Linked DNA regions of Styela clava. The protein of the gene in region 2 interacts with the protein of the main gene of each other region in a biochemical or structural test. Links are inferred from orthologs where the notes say so. Each region holds a gene or a part of one and is shown on either strand. Other genes may lie near its edges.

Region 1 (7,783 bases), on a different chromosome or scaffold from region 2:
AAAGTACTACTTTGCATACCCAGTCCACCATAATCCAATTCACAGAATTTTGAATCAGTTACACTAAAAGAACCCCCAAAAAAATAACCATCTTACCTGGCCTATTGTAGCGTCTTTATAGTTGGTTTTGGCCTGCAAAGATATGAAAATATATATACTGTATTTTCTGACTAATAAGCCTATTTTTGGCGTGACTTTCTGAGTCAGCTTATCGGGCAACTCGACTTATTTTTTTCTAGGGATTTGAACCATAAAATATCGGAAAAGGTATCATGTCTTTCCAGATGGTTTCAATAAAATCTAGAATATCAGTGATGTAATTATTATATTAAAAATCACAGCACGTTTGTGCGCTTCAAACGCAAAAGCGAATTACTAACACCCTCATGTGTAAATACATCATAGAGGGAATGCATTGGCATGTAACTGAGGGAAAATACAATCGATGCAGTTACCCTACGACGATGATGATTTCGGCAATCCTCTCGCACATAGGCTAATTATTCTACACAAGATTCGAACCTGCGAACTTACAGACGGTAATCGTAGGTGCGATCCGAAAAGCACAAACTCACCTTCTTATTAACAATTTCTTCTTCATTAGCTGAACTTTCTGCTGCTCTTTTTTCAGTTTTTTGTTTCTGTCAAAATTTTCAATATTTTTAGTGAAGGATAGATTGGTTAAGTTTATTTAGTCTCCATAATAAAAAATGATGAAAAAAAAAAAAAATTGATTCCAAATCAGGAGAGCAAACAAAACCTCGAGTAAGGGTTAAAACAAACAGATTTTAAATTGAATGATGCTGTTAAAATAGGTGTTACCGGTACATGTAGTGGTGAGAATCAAATTTTTATGCCAGCCGGCTCCATCACAAAAGTCAAATTTTTTAGCCGGTTCTGTTACAAAATTTTATTTTTTTAGCAAATAAACTAATTATTTTCAATAATTTCCTAATTGACATAACTGGTATGTGCGAACTTGATCATTTCACATTTTGAGAAGAAACATGCGAGCTACTTGATCTCAAAAATTCTGTGAGACTTTCTATAGCAGGAGTCTGCAACTACTTCATGGCGTGACACAAATTTTTTTTTTTCTAACTTTTTGCGATAGAAAGCCAGTGAACAATTTGGACTACCCAAGCACACTATTCAACTTTGCAAGTTGCTTCAGCTAGCTGTGACACTAGTCAATTCAGTGACATTAGTGATGTAACAAGATGTCGGAAAGATTTTCTGTTATTTTTAGGACGAAACAACACCAAATGCGATTTTTCGATTACCCTTCATCAAAGGGACGCGGGCCACAGATAATGAGACTGCGGGCCACATGTGGCCCGTAGGCCTGGGTTTGGACCACCCTGGCCCAGCCTATCAGATCTATTTTTAGACTAATTTTTGATTACTGCAATCAAGAAGACAAAATGACTATTGAGTTATTTGATTTAGACTTAGCCTATATTTACCAAAACACAACTAAAAACTAACAAATAGCACACGAAAATGAGGTAACATTCACAACCATGAAAATATGTCTGACACAAAAGTGTCTGAGATGCTGGCATGCTGCTAAAACGTTTATTGTTACTTTAAATTTTGCACTTATGCTGAATGGCCAATGTTACGGCAGTAAATAAGGATGTTGAACATCCATAAATATAATTAGAGGTTTACAAAGTTGTAGTTGCTTATATTTATGGCTAATTTAATTGTTGTGCGACCCAGAGTGGAGGGTTTATGGGTCGCGATCCCATACGGTACGGTATTTGAGGACCCCTGTTCTATAGAACCGGCTGAATCACACCACTGGATACATGTTTACACACCTAAATAATAGGAAAAATGTGAGATACTTCCAAGGTTAATATAACGATCAGTAGAGGTTGCGCGAGACTAACTCCCAATCCTTTCTCTATGCCTTTGCATTTGGTCAGATGAAACGTTACAGAAATATATTTGTGTTAGTGTGCAGCAGGACTCTTGAATTGCATATTATGGTATTTTATTCCTGCTACAGCATCCTTGCATTACATGCATACGGATCCACTAGCGCAAAGGCATAGAGAAAGGATTGGGAGTTAGTCTCGCGCAACCTCTACTGATCGTTATATTAGCCTTTTTCGCGTGACTTCTGTATCCGAATGGATCCTGCCAAACTCCGGACTCGACAACTACCACAAGAAAAGAATTTAGAAGCAATACTAAAAAGAATTCAACGCCTTTAAAAGAATCACATTATAAGGACCCTGGCTATCAAGATCTGAGCCTAGAACACATTGATAAATGTTCTAGTGAAACTTATTGTGAAATCAAGCACGCCGCGGAACAATTATTCCATGCTCAGAACCGATTGCATTTTTTTATTTCGCAATCTGTTTCTGAATATCAATAATTGTTTTTTCATTGTTTGCTCACAATTAATTTCAAACAAATTTATTTATCGCCATATTTAAACTGCATGATTGCTCTTTTCTTGTCATTGTTGTAAACTGCTTGTCTGAGGAAGTCTGATTTTGGTCAGATGAAACGTTACAGAAATATATTTGTGTTAGTGTGCAGCAGGACTCTTGAATTGCATACTTCCAAGGTGCCGGTAAATTACCCAACAACACAAAAATATATCGCAAATTGCCGGTACGGTACCGGTTCACCTCAGTCTTCTGCAGTCATAGCAGTCTGCCAGTGGTGTAGCGGCACTGCACCATAATATCACCCAGTATAATTCTGTAATTAAAATAAAATAGTACAGCAAACATAGCTTACCTTGGCCATATTGCATAACCATGAACGAACAAAAATATGGTGACTTAATTGCGTTACTGTGATACTAGAAATTGCCCGAACGAATATTTGCAGGCTCATAAATGCCGCTTATCAGGGCTCACGCACGTGTCGGTCTCTCTGTCGAAGGGGGGGCGTCAGATGGCCTGGTGATCTTCGTGTTGAGTGAATATAAAATGAAAAGATATTTTTTAATTTTATTTTAAACAAATCGTGCTTCTCAGTCGCCCAACAATTTGTTGTGTAAAACATTTGTTTATTTTTCGTTCAAATGATACTGGTCTGGCCAGCTACTTGGCTCGTAGTCAGGAAACAGAACGCCCTCCTCTACTACCTGCTGATCAGGGGCGGACACCCGGGGGGGGGGGGGGGGGGATGGGGTGTCAATTTAATACATGTCAATTTAATACATGTTGTTTCCGCCTTACGAAATTATCATTTTCGAAAAGTGCGATAGTCAAGCGCAATTAAACAGTTAATAGTTACCGATATTATAACTGTTTTCTTACAATAATGTGGACCAGAGCGCCTTCGGAGCACCTCATATTTTCGTGAAACATGCGCGCCCGCACGGGTAATACTCCGTCTTCAAACGCATCGCCGATCACGCGCAACGGTTTAGCACAACTAATTCATTTTTGTACAATTTATTATGATTTTCTCATTGTCAAAATCTTTCAATAGTGTTATTGTTGGCACTTGCGAGAGAAGTGAAAGAGGCAAACTGTGTTTCATTACAACAATTAATTATTATCGCTAAAAAATTAACTAGATCTAAAGTTGTTATAAACAATTTTCACCGCTGGACGTATCTTTTCATGTTATGGATTTCGTGCAAGGCCCAACATAATTTGCGGGCAAAGATCAAAGCATTTACTATGTCGAAAAGTTGAAAAGCGATAATATAAAATACTAAAAACAAAAATGTAAACAATATAAGTTTTGTTGAGGCCCGCGACAGTCTATAAACGCTTTTCTAGGCATCGAAAATCGCAAAATTTCGTGTGCCTACGGCACAAATTATGTTTGCTTGACCTTTAAAAACATTTCGTCACTAAAATCGAAACACGGTCAATTGTGAGCGGGATTTGCCTTTTTATCCATTACTTTTAAATTGACGTCGTAAAATTTTCGTGTTAACAAACAAAGCTGAGAACGCGACTTTTCCCCGGTTTGTGATGATATATAAGATAATTAAAGTATATTCGATCACTTTTTGTATTTATTTATGTATTTTTATTGTACTGAAATAACTTTTACTACGTGAGAATTGACAGAAAATTTACGGATTTTTCGAAAGGTTTTATCTTTAAAAATAATCGGAGTGACAACATTGCGATTGAGCGGAGCCAGTGTGACATGTACATCTCAAATTTATCGAATTCGCAAAATAGCAAAAATACGGATCAAAACAATATATAAACGGGCAGTTTACCACACATTTTTATGTCCGCGGATTGCCGTCGTGTTTTAGAGTGGCTCTTGTTTTGTCGAATCAACCGCAGTTTAAATTGAAGACAATTAAATTAATAAATCAAGACATTTTTATTATGCCCGTATCGGTCTTCGATTACTTGGCACAAGTGAAAAATCATTTTTCGTTGATAAAGTCAGCTCTTTTAACAAGTGGCGTAATCGCGGCGACTGTTCCACGTGGATTTCGAGGCGGTGAATTTGTATTTTTGATTTACTAGTATACTTTATAATTATTTTCATTGTATGAATTAAAATTGTACTACATGGGATTTTATATCAGATATTGAGATTTTTGTTACGGCGGTAACGAGTTCGGAAGATTGCAAAAATAGGTATCAAAATTAAATACATCAGGCAGCTTATCTCATATTTTTAGGCAAACATATCACCGTGTTACTTTAGTTTAGTAATATTTTTATTTTGACGTAAAAAGTCGCAACCGCGAGTTACGTTGCACACTATTAAATTAATATATAAGAACATTTTAGAATCTCGTGGCTGTCATGGATCGACAGAAAAATCCTTATACGCTTAAATAGGCGGCTCTTTTAACGAGCGCGTAATCGCGGTGCTTGTTGCAGACGGCAATGTGAAGTTCCGACTTTGCAAAGTCATTGCGTGAATCCTATTAAATTAATATATAAGAACATTTTAGAATCTCGTGGCTGTCATGGATCGACAGAAAAATCCTTATACGCTTAAATAGGCGGCTCTTTTAACGAGCGCGTAATCGCGGTGCTTGTTGCAGACGGCAATGTGAAGTTCCGACTTTGCAAAGTCATTGCGTGAATCCTGAATGTTATTTCGAGTTCAAATGATGATTTAATAAATCGGCAATAATGGCAATTCTACTAGTCAAATGATAATTCCTTGGTAAAATTTAGGAAAAAAATTCGCACAATAGCTTGTTACCTTGTTTTGCATTTTTAATTTTACGAAACGACGTTAGTGCGCTTTATGCAGAACTAGGAATTGAAACAATAACCTAATACTCCTCAATTTGTTATTTTCTGTTTGTTAGCAAGAGCCGTGGGCTAATTCTCGCGGAATTCAAGAAATTGGATCAGTGACGCGCAAGTTCCGTGTCCGAGCAAAGCAGCCCAGGTACTCGATATATCAGTAGCAAAATGACATGCTAATACTTAGAGAATGACATCGACAGGTTATTGTTACGTGACGATACGCGGCGCGGCGCGGCGTTTTTCGGTAGGCGATCCAAGTTCGCCCCCCCAAAATTATGGAAAGTGTCCGCCCCTGCTGCTGATATAACTTTTAACCAAACTTAAGAATTCAATTGTCGCAAATATCATTGCTCGTGCTCGTATCAATGCCACAATCATCAAAGTGATTGAAACGCCAAGAATTTAATTATATTTATAGAATTTATATATCAGGTAAAATTCTAGACCAGACTAGAGCAGGGTTTCCTAAACTGGGGTCCGCGGACCACTGGGGGTCCGTAATCACTGCAGGGGGGGTCCGCAACGGTATGCGAGTTTGATCAATCTTTAATGATTGATTTCAATCAAAAAAAAAATCGTTGCGCAGCGTTTCGAACAAATACGCATTTCTTGCCTTTTGTAACGACTTATATATGTGTGTGGAAAGGAATTTACAGCTCTTACCAATATGACAACAAAATACAGGTCGATAGTTGTCGGAGAGTTTGCTAGATACAAATTGCTCCGACAATTGATAAATTGTGGAATGAAAAGGAACTTCACCCATCACATTAATGTCGCTTGCGTTGTGTTGTAAATGAAACATTATCCTTACTCGTTGATCAGACACAGAAATTGATACGGCATAGGATGGGGGTCCGTAAAAATTGATATTCACAAATAGGGGTCCGCTGCCGAAAAAGTTTGGGAAACACTGGACTAGAGAACAAACTTTGGATCAACTGGAGAATCCCCCTCCCCCTACAGGGGGAAGAATATCTACCCCAAGTTAGACCAACTGTAGAATCTCCACCCCAACTAAGACCAACTGTAGAATCTTCACCCCAACTAAGACCATCTAACCCTAACAAATAATTAGCCCAGGTCAAATAAAGGATCAACTGGTATTATCGGCTTAGGTTGGTTGGGGGAAGGGAATATTTTTTTTTCAGTTGAGAAACGGGATCAACTAAAGAATCTCTACCCCAACTAAGATCAACTGAAGAATCCCCCCCTTCCAGGTGAGTCCAACTCAACTGAAGAATCTCCTCCCCAGGCGGGTCCAAGGGGAGGGGATATTCAGTTGATCCCAAGATTCCTATTGCAGGAAGTTGAATAATGTCTACTTGACCCGAACCTTGACACGAAATTTCAAGATACAATTGGTTATACTGACCAAACCTCCTTTTCCAACTGAAGAATCAGTCTCTATTGTTTGTAAAACTTATATCCGTAGTCAATAGGAATGTAAACAAGCACGAAGAAGAATTATAAATTTATAAAAGAACAAAACTCAGGGAACGTATGTAAAGGGGCGATGTACAATCGTTTTTGAATGCCTATTGGCTTGTTCACCAATAAATAAAATTGTGAAAAAATCGTTTCTAAAGTATCCTAACCGGCTTATTAATAATATTTCTATTTTATATTTTAGGGAAAACAAAATTTGTAGTCTTATTGCAAATTAATATTCTACTTTTTTTTACAATAATATGCATCGCTTACTGTTTTTGCATTGAATTACCAAGCCTTACATGAAACGTTATGTAACTATAGTTTCACGGAGCTGAAATTAAGAGGTTGGAGTTATTACTTTCCCTATTCACATAAACTTATCAAAAAATTTGTAAAATAACGATATTAATGCTGTAATACCACTTTGATTTTAAATACTAGCTATACAGTAATGGCAAAATGAAATAAAAAAAATTAGAACCACGAATGTTTTAAATTATTTTCGTATTAAATAGCCAAGTCTTAGCTATTAGAAAAAGTTGAAATTATGTCTTTAGGATCGCAAAGATATGCGCAAATGTGACACAAATACTTCAACGTAGGCATACTATACGTATGTACAAGGTCTATGGAAAATAGTTTTACAAAGACATGTGTTCCCTTGTTCATCATTGAATAAAATTATGAAAAAACTCATTCAGGCATAAATATAAATAATATTTCTGTTATATAAACAGACGTCTTCGCGCAAAAAGACAACTTTATTTTTTTCTTGTTTTCTGCGACAAAAATATTCTTTCTGTTTTCGTATTGAATTGTCAAGCCTTAGATAAAACGTTACGTGACTAATATGTTCCACAGAGATGAAGTCATGTTTTGAAAGATCATTCGTATACTGCAGCCTATTGTGCATGGTAGAGCTTTGGTCTCAGAAGCGCTATTGAATATTTTATTTTTATCTTTCCCATTCTTTGTTGGGTTTCGGTGGAATATACGTCACTTCCTGCTCTATTCAAACTTTAGAAATCAATCTTCGCTGCTGGTGAAGCTCAATAGCCAATAGATTTACACACAAGCGTCACAAAGGGTGTTTTTCAGCAAAAGATTCAAGTCACGGACGGTTTTAACCG
Region 2 (7,903 bases):
CAATATACCTCAGATGTATATGTGAAAATACATGCGTTAGTTCACCAACATGTGATCTAGACTTGATCACAAGTCCTGACAAATATTTTTCTAACATACCATCTGTGTTTTCAGATATATAATTTATTGTGTGTTTTGTTGGGTGTGTCCCTTTCTCAGAAAAGTGTTTCTTGAAACTTTTATGTGCTACTTGTTCAGCATTTAAAGTTAGGGTAGGGAATTCCCACAGTTTGGCTAAAAGTCCAGTGTCCGGCCTTTGAGTAACCAACATTTTGGATTCATTATCAACATGTTTTAATTCAACCACGCTTAATAAGGCAATGTCTTGTCTTGGCGGCTTTTTATCTGCTTTTCTAGGGTAATTCATGACCCCAAGCGCTGGAAGCCATGGCTTATCAACTGGAAATTTTAAAAAAGATATCGTACAAGATTCTATATCCTCAACATTTTTACTTTTCAACTCTTCAATCTCAACTTTTACTCGTTTTGGTGTTTTTGAGTTGTCACCATCTGCTGATGCTTTCCTTTTGTTTTTGTTGTTGTTTTTACCTAACAGTAAGTTTGATACAGAAATTGTATTTGTTTTCTTATAATTTTCAACTTCCTTATAACCTTTACAAACACTTCGTAGAGGACATCGCGAGCATACAGGATTTTTTGGCATGCAGACCAAAGCTCCCAATTCCATCATTGCCTGTCAAATTAATAAATGAAATTTCGCATGTGGCATGTAGTTATGTAAAAAAACAGTTGGATACAATTTCTGATTGAGCTGACAGAATAAGGATGACAGATGAAAAACTTCTACAGAAAATAAAGACATTTCTCACCATTTCCAGAGAGGGCGAAGAGCCAAGTCAGAATAAAAGTTTTATTAATTTTTCTTTTCAAATTTATAGCAAGTGGAAATTTAATGAACATGATTCAAAGTTCTGTAGGATACAACCTACGGGTAAATGCTTGATTAAAATATATTGGGCATTTGGATTTAAATTTTTGCAATAGCAAAATATAAGTCTATAAACAAAAAAAGTGCAGATAAAATGAGCAAGTTTATTGACTGGAGAAGTTTCAATAATATAATGTTAACTAAAAGAGCAATTTTTGATAGAGATCCACTGGTCCTATGATTGGTCAGTCATATCATATTATTTATATTTAATAAAATACCCATATTACATCTACCTGGTTAAAATCTCCAGGCTGATCAGATGGAATGCTTTTGTCGACTTGATCCCATAAATGATCAGTAACATTTTTTGAAGACACATCACCTCCAATAGTAAGAAGACGACTTATAACACGAATCACATTTCCATCCAGAACTCCAACTGATTCGTTGAAAGCTATTGAAGCGATTGCAGCAGCTGTATATCTGGTGTATTTTGATGAAAATATTTTTTTTATATTATTTTAAGTAGTTTTTACATTTAACTCCTAACAAGATTCTAGACAGTAGACATGCAGACGCGGATACCTTAGGAACTTCAATTTTAGGAAGGATCAGAACCAATTTGGCATTGCTTAAATAATTATTACAACCTGGATAAGGTGTTCCTTAAACACACACACAATTGTGATACAACCATTCCCCTTTTTAGGATCAATATCACCAACAAGAAATATGCAGTATCATAACAGGAGTGCGCAAAAACATTACTCATTATCATTGGTCTAGGTCAGGGGTTCGACAACTTTCAAGAGTCCAGTGCGACCCCAGGTCAATATATATATTTTTCATGAATCTTTAGAGCTTTTTTCACTGGACTTTTGATGCTTACGGCCCTGTTTTACAGTAAGCCATGGTACAAACTGCTAAATTTAACATGGTTTGTCAAATCTTAGATGATATGTACATCCATCCTCTATCATACCTCAGTGACCCGACCGACCCCATGACCTGTTTGCGACCCTACCTACTCATCACTCCGACCCAATTTGGGGTCGAGACCCCTGGTCTAGGTTCTTGTTTTACCTCAAAGTTAAGTAGAAAATGACTATTTTGGGGTACAAATACATTTAAAAAAAATTGAACAGTCTTTCGTCCTTTTCAGTTATTAGACATGTTTTCAAAAATGATATGAAAAACATCTATTCGATTCAAATTGAGTTAGAATTGAATTAGCACACTGTCAGTGCAAATATGAACATTCGTGTTTCCAAACAAATATCCCAACAATTTATGTTTATCGATTGAAAAGCACTCATTCATGAACCAGTTTGTTTACTCACCTACCAACTCCTGGAATAAGCTTCATCAAATTAGTCGCGTTCTCAGGTATTTGTCCATTTAAATCTTTTACAACTTTACAGGCTCCTTCATGCAATCTCCTTGCTCTTGAATAATAACCCAGGCCAGCCCACACTTGATTTACTTCCTCCATATTTGCTTTGGCCAAATCGTGAACAGTCGGCCATTTTAACATCCACCTTTCAATACAAAAAACAAACTTTGTGTTATGTGTGGAAACAAAGGATTTGTGTGAACTTGCAGTACATGTTCATTAAAAATTTAATCCAATGGGCCAGTAAGTCCTATTTTGAAATTATCATTCACCCCACCTATGCATGAAAAGCCTGTTTCCATTTGTTGTTTAATTTTAAGGTATCATACTATCATCAGCTACTGCACTGTTTGAATGGTCTATAATTGGCCAATATATATATTACAATAAGAATGAATAATATCACACAAAAACACAGTGAAATTTCCTCTCCAGTTAGGACATCCCGTATTAGTACATACATCATTTAATATCTACATTATAACAAATGGAATTCATGACTACCATCTATTCTACCCCAATTGGAATTGAAACTGACTTTACAAGAGTGAAGTATGTACTCATAAAAATCTGATTTAGTTTAAATGTTTCGAAGATTTCTTTATAGTCTGACATACTGTTGCATTCATTAAGTTGATTTTTTGGCTTTATTTAGAAAGCGATTCTCTCAAATTGCAATCTAAGTTGCTCACTTCTTATAGTAATCAATCACTGTGGTCACTCTGGTTTGTTGGAGCATGATCTCAGAAACCCAAACAGCATAAGCATGTTGTTGTTTATTATCAGTCAATGCTGCTCTTCTCCAGGGCAGGTCGCGTTTGTTTTGTCTATACCAATCCAAAAGCTCATTTTGTATCAATGAAATATTTTCTTCATCAAATGTGTGAGGATTATTGCTTTTCATATTACCGGTACTAACTAATGTAGACTTGAAAGATTACATAATTCAATTAATAAAGTGCAGCGATTTTCGTTTACAGTCATCACAGATAGTACTGAATGTATAATCAAAATATCTTCATGCTTGTACAGCGCCTTGCTCTGAGCAGACGGCATATATATAGGTGGTTGCATGTACAAAACCTTGCTCGAGTGAAAGGCATGGATAAGCGTCATATAAATCATAAAATACTATGTCAAATGAAGTTAATGAGAAGATTTCAAAACACTTTTACGCAGGCGTTGCATATAAGGAAAAAATAGTTGACAAAGTAGCAGCTAAACAGTTATTATTTACTAGTATTGTTTAAATAAAAATGCAAAAAAAATGTTTCGGGTTGAAGTCCCTAAACTCAAAGTTACCAAGCCACAGCTAATGAAAGGCTCAAGTCAAGTCAATTACTGAGCTGAGTCTTGTCTGCGGTAATTTAATACGAGTCCAAGTCACTTTATCCGGATACCCAGAGACACAACACAACAAGTTTTTGATAAATGGTGAATAGAGTCAAAATTGACTCTAGTCTCTAACATTCCCAAAACTGCAAAGAAATAAGATGAGGAATTATTATCATTTATTACATAATATGAACACCTTTATCAATAAACAATAAAATATATGACGGTCAACGAGGATTAATATTGAGAAAATTTTAACAATTCAATTGCATGAGAATACAAATGCAGTGATAATAAAGATTATATGCATAATTTTACAGTGAGTTAAACATAATTATGTGGTCACGACAGTGTTGATAGAAGCACACATACATGCAATAATGTACCAGTAAAAAATTGGGTACCGTACATGGATTGCACAATAAAAAATAATCAGAAGAATGATATTGAATTTAACAATAATATAAAATCCAATAATAGATAAATTGAAAAAATAGACTTGGCTGTGAGCAGTTTTTAAAAGTAATTTCTTGAGTTGCCTCGAACCAAGCTACTGGTACTTAGTATAATTAAATTACATACTGAAACTCAATATCAACATCTTTCATAGCAATTTTAAGATGATCATCCATTATTTCAGATTGGGAAACAGTGAAATGATTCTTCCAATCACCAACATCGCCTTTACGATAAAACATTTTTTCTTCACCTTCATTAGATTTCCTCATATAGGTGATTGAACAGCGTTTAACGATTTCAGCAATTTCTGTTTCATTTCTTTCAACTTCTAAAAAATCACAGATTGACTTGACAACAACATGGAAATCCTTTTTCATGTCTTCATATGAGAGGAATTTCACACAATTTTCATTCTTGTGTTTCAGCCAACTTTTGATATGATAGGGGTACCATTCACCTTCAGGAACATGCGTCCACATTTCCCCATTTATCAACTGTTTGTAGAATTTATCGAAATTGTCTGTTCGAAGATGAGCAAGCTCCGGAGGTGATGGATATGACGACTTGAAATGAAAATATGATGTTACCATATCTTTTGGGTTTCGATATAAATAAATGACTCTTGCATCATTTTTGACAATTTTCTCGAAATTAACCAACTCTTCCGGTAAGTGGGTGGTAAATATACGAGGACGAGTAAAGTGATCCATGACTTCAAACTTGGCTTTTGGCCCATGATCTAAATAAATGGGTTTAGAAAGAAATCCTCCACTCTTTGGACTAAGAAAATTCAACCAATTCGAATCTCTGATAAAATAAATCTGCTTTATAACTTCATACATCCAGTGTGTTCCACATTTAGGATAAGTCACAATAAAGACATCACCTTTACGTGGTTCCCAATTTCTGTATGCATATTTTGCTGCATCCATAGAAAAAGCCGCAATTCCACGAATATTCTTCCATGTTTGTGGTTTGAGTTTCCAATTATTCATAAACTGATTGACTTCATCAATTTTTGTTTTGATATCATCAGGAAAGGAATCCATCCTGAAGATTTATCATGACACAGGACTGGACGCCAAAAAAGTTTTTGTGATATATTATTATTACTGTATTATATTACTACAATAAATCAAATTCCCACTGCAGAATAATTTTAAGTTCTTCTCGTTACTGCGTTATGTAACTGATGCAATAAAATGTTGTATAAATGTGAAAAACAGAAAGTTAAACAAAGTTCCCCCAAAAATTGAAATTTGAACATGATTGGCCTTGGGGTCTCAAAACCATTTTGGGTATTGATTGATACTCTCAACCTCTTTTCAATCAAAAAGAAAAAGAAATGGAAAAAAAAAACATGATCAGTATTCTAACAAAATACTTGAATAAAACGTAATAATGTATATTTCACAAAATTTGTTAAACTGACCCAAATTCGAACAAGATCCTCCTTTCAAAAAATATATTGGGTATGAATGGATGGTTTCAACGTCTTCCCAATCAAATAAATTGGAAAAACTCAACCAGTCTTCTAACAAAATACTTTTTTACAATGTAATAATGTGAATTTAACAAAATTCAGAAGAATCATTAAATTGACCCAAAATTTGAACAAGATGAAAAAACTCAATCAGTTTTCTAGCAAAATACTTTTAACTGCAGAATCCTTGTTTTGTCTTACCTGAAAGTAAATCGGATAATCATAATTTAAACTAAATTTGGTATTAAATTTAGAAGCTCATACATTTGCCCACTAGCCTACTGTCAGTTGCTATAGAGGCGAGTATCGGGGGATGAGTCTGTTTATAACTTAGAATGCAATTCTCTCACTAACAACATAATCCTATTGATTCTAGAATTCATGCTGATAAGAAAACAATATTTTTAAGTGAAGTGAATCAAGCTTGAGAAAATTATGGAAGAGATTTCAGAAATAAAAATTTCAAAAAGGCGAAATCTCGATTGACATCTGTGCTTTCAGATATACATAAAGCTAAGGGAAATTCCATTCGTATGTAAAAGTAATATTGATATATATATGCCAATTTTCATCACTTCCAGGTGATTTAGCTAATTTGTTGCTGGAAGCAAAATTTAATTGACAAGAATTGCAGTCTAAATCCTGATTATGGGATGGTTTGTTCGACATATGCCAGCGGTTTTCATCTTTCTTGCATATCCGTTATAGCCTAGTCCGTTCTCAATTCTTTATTTCGTTGCACACGTATGGTTTATCACTTCTTTGGTATCTTTCTTCACACAAATGCATCGAGCACACCTCAATTCACAACAACTGAATTTGTAATTGCCGGAGATTCCAATAACAATCACATACAGACATCTGGACATAGGCTAGTTAGTGAGATAAAAGAATATTTGGATGAAACAAAGAAGCATAAAATATATTATGTGTTTTCTTTTTGTGGAATTTTGCTGTTTTCAACTCATATTGTGAGTCCTTGGTGTGTTAATTCACCTTCAAGTTCTTAAGTCTGTAAGTTGTAGACTAGTTAATTCCAGGGGGTTATATTGAGCAATGACCCTCCGTACGCGTCCTGCTATACGCTATATTATATAAAGGTTTTTTGAATGAACATAAATGCAATTTAATCTCATGAAATGCAGAACTGCAACGGCGCCATTTCGATAAAGCTGAGAGCGAGGTGATGTCTCGCCGCTTGTCAGATAGTTCGCCTCTCGGCTGCAAATTTTGCAGGCAAACTCACAACAAAAGCATGTCCAATGATGGGAATGGATGTTTTTCTGACCTTTATTCCCAGAGAGAGAGAGAGAGAGATTCATTATTCTTCAACCAGAAAAGCAAGCATTGCAGCAATAATAAAAATATACAACAACATACGCAGTAGAGGCAGAGAAACTCTTCTTTAGCGGGTGTTCAATCAAAATACTCCGTTTCCCGGTTTCTGACTTATTCTGTGCAACAATAGACCATACACTTCTACGGTATTTATAATTCAAGAAATCAGCAAATTTTTCGATATACATATTTTGTTCGACGCGATAACAAACGTTGTGTACTCCGAATGTTCAGTAATGCAATTATCATTTCAGAATTTTTAGCTTGCTTTACAGCATTACACGTTAAAACTGTTTAGGTAAATTTTCAGTTCGCCAAATGGTATCCCCTAAAATAGAAAAATGTATTTCCCAGGGAATTTTGCCCCGTTCGGAAATCTCTAGTCTAATGTATCCGAGCTCACATCTATGATAGCCGTTATCTCCAATGTGCATACCATCGATGGTGTTATATCTACGATATAATACCTCTATCAGTATTTTAAGTGAGGATTGGGACAACAATCTTTTGGAAGATTGCCATGGGTATTTTAACACCGAAACATGTGAATAATTACACCCTTTTACAGTTTAATGACGAAAATGCAAGATGCAAATGTAGCGGGTACATTAGGATAGTTACTGTGTATTTTAATATTTTCACCACGTATTGTTAAGTGCATGTTATTTGCCTGAAACAAGGTCGTTGCTCTCATTCATTTCCCATATATATGATATATTTTATCTTGCTCAGTGTTGCTTGTCTTTATCGTTTTTTGTTAGTTAGAAATTTGGTTTCATCACCTATACTTGCTTTAAGGTTTTAAAATGATTTCGTTATTTGGATCAATTCGATAGTGCAACTTTACAATATAAAAACATTTGGCATTCAAGACATTATGTGCTTAATTGACCTCTGAAGGAGTCTAGATTGGAGTTACACTCTGTTAACGTGTGTTCAATAACACGGGAGTGTAGACACGCAGATAGGGCCATAGCCCCCTGTACAAGTATCGTATCGCGAT

Evidence for each region.
Region 1: the proteins of adenine DNA glycosylase-like (region 2) and DNA repair nuclease APEX1-like form a complex in vitro, tested with the Homo sapiens proteins (3 studies listed by BioGRID and IntAct, with this or other methods). The link is inferred for Styela clava from reciprocal best matches to the Homo sapiens genes MUTYH and APEX1.

What each region holds. Positions count from the first base shown.
Region 1 is NC_135256.1:4,929,434-4,937,216, reverse strand, and holds the start of DNA repair nuclease APEX1-like, read right to left. Parts: upstream 3,050-7,783; 5' UTR 2,863-3,049; coding exon 2,764-2,862; intron 642-2,763; coding exon 576-641; intron 133-575; coding exon 97-132; intron 1-96.
Region 2 is NC_135258.1:10,284,527-10,292,429, forward strand, and holds the start of adenine DNA glycosylase-like, read right to left. Parts: upstream 3,192-7,903; 5' UTR 3,190-3,191; coding exon 2,978-3,189; intron 2,431-2,977; coding exon 2,233-2,430; intron 1,376-2,232; coding exon 1,186-1,375; intron 695-1,185; coding exon 1-694. Other genes in the region: amine sulfotransferase-like, read right to left, coding at 4,190-5,128. UniProt on the Homo sapiens protein: Involved in oxidative DNA damage repair. Initiates repair of A*oxoG to C*G by removing the inappropriately paired adenine base from the DNA backbone. Possesses both adenine and 2-OH-A DNA glycosylase activities.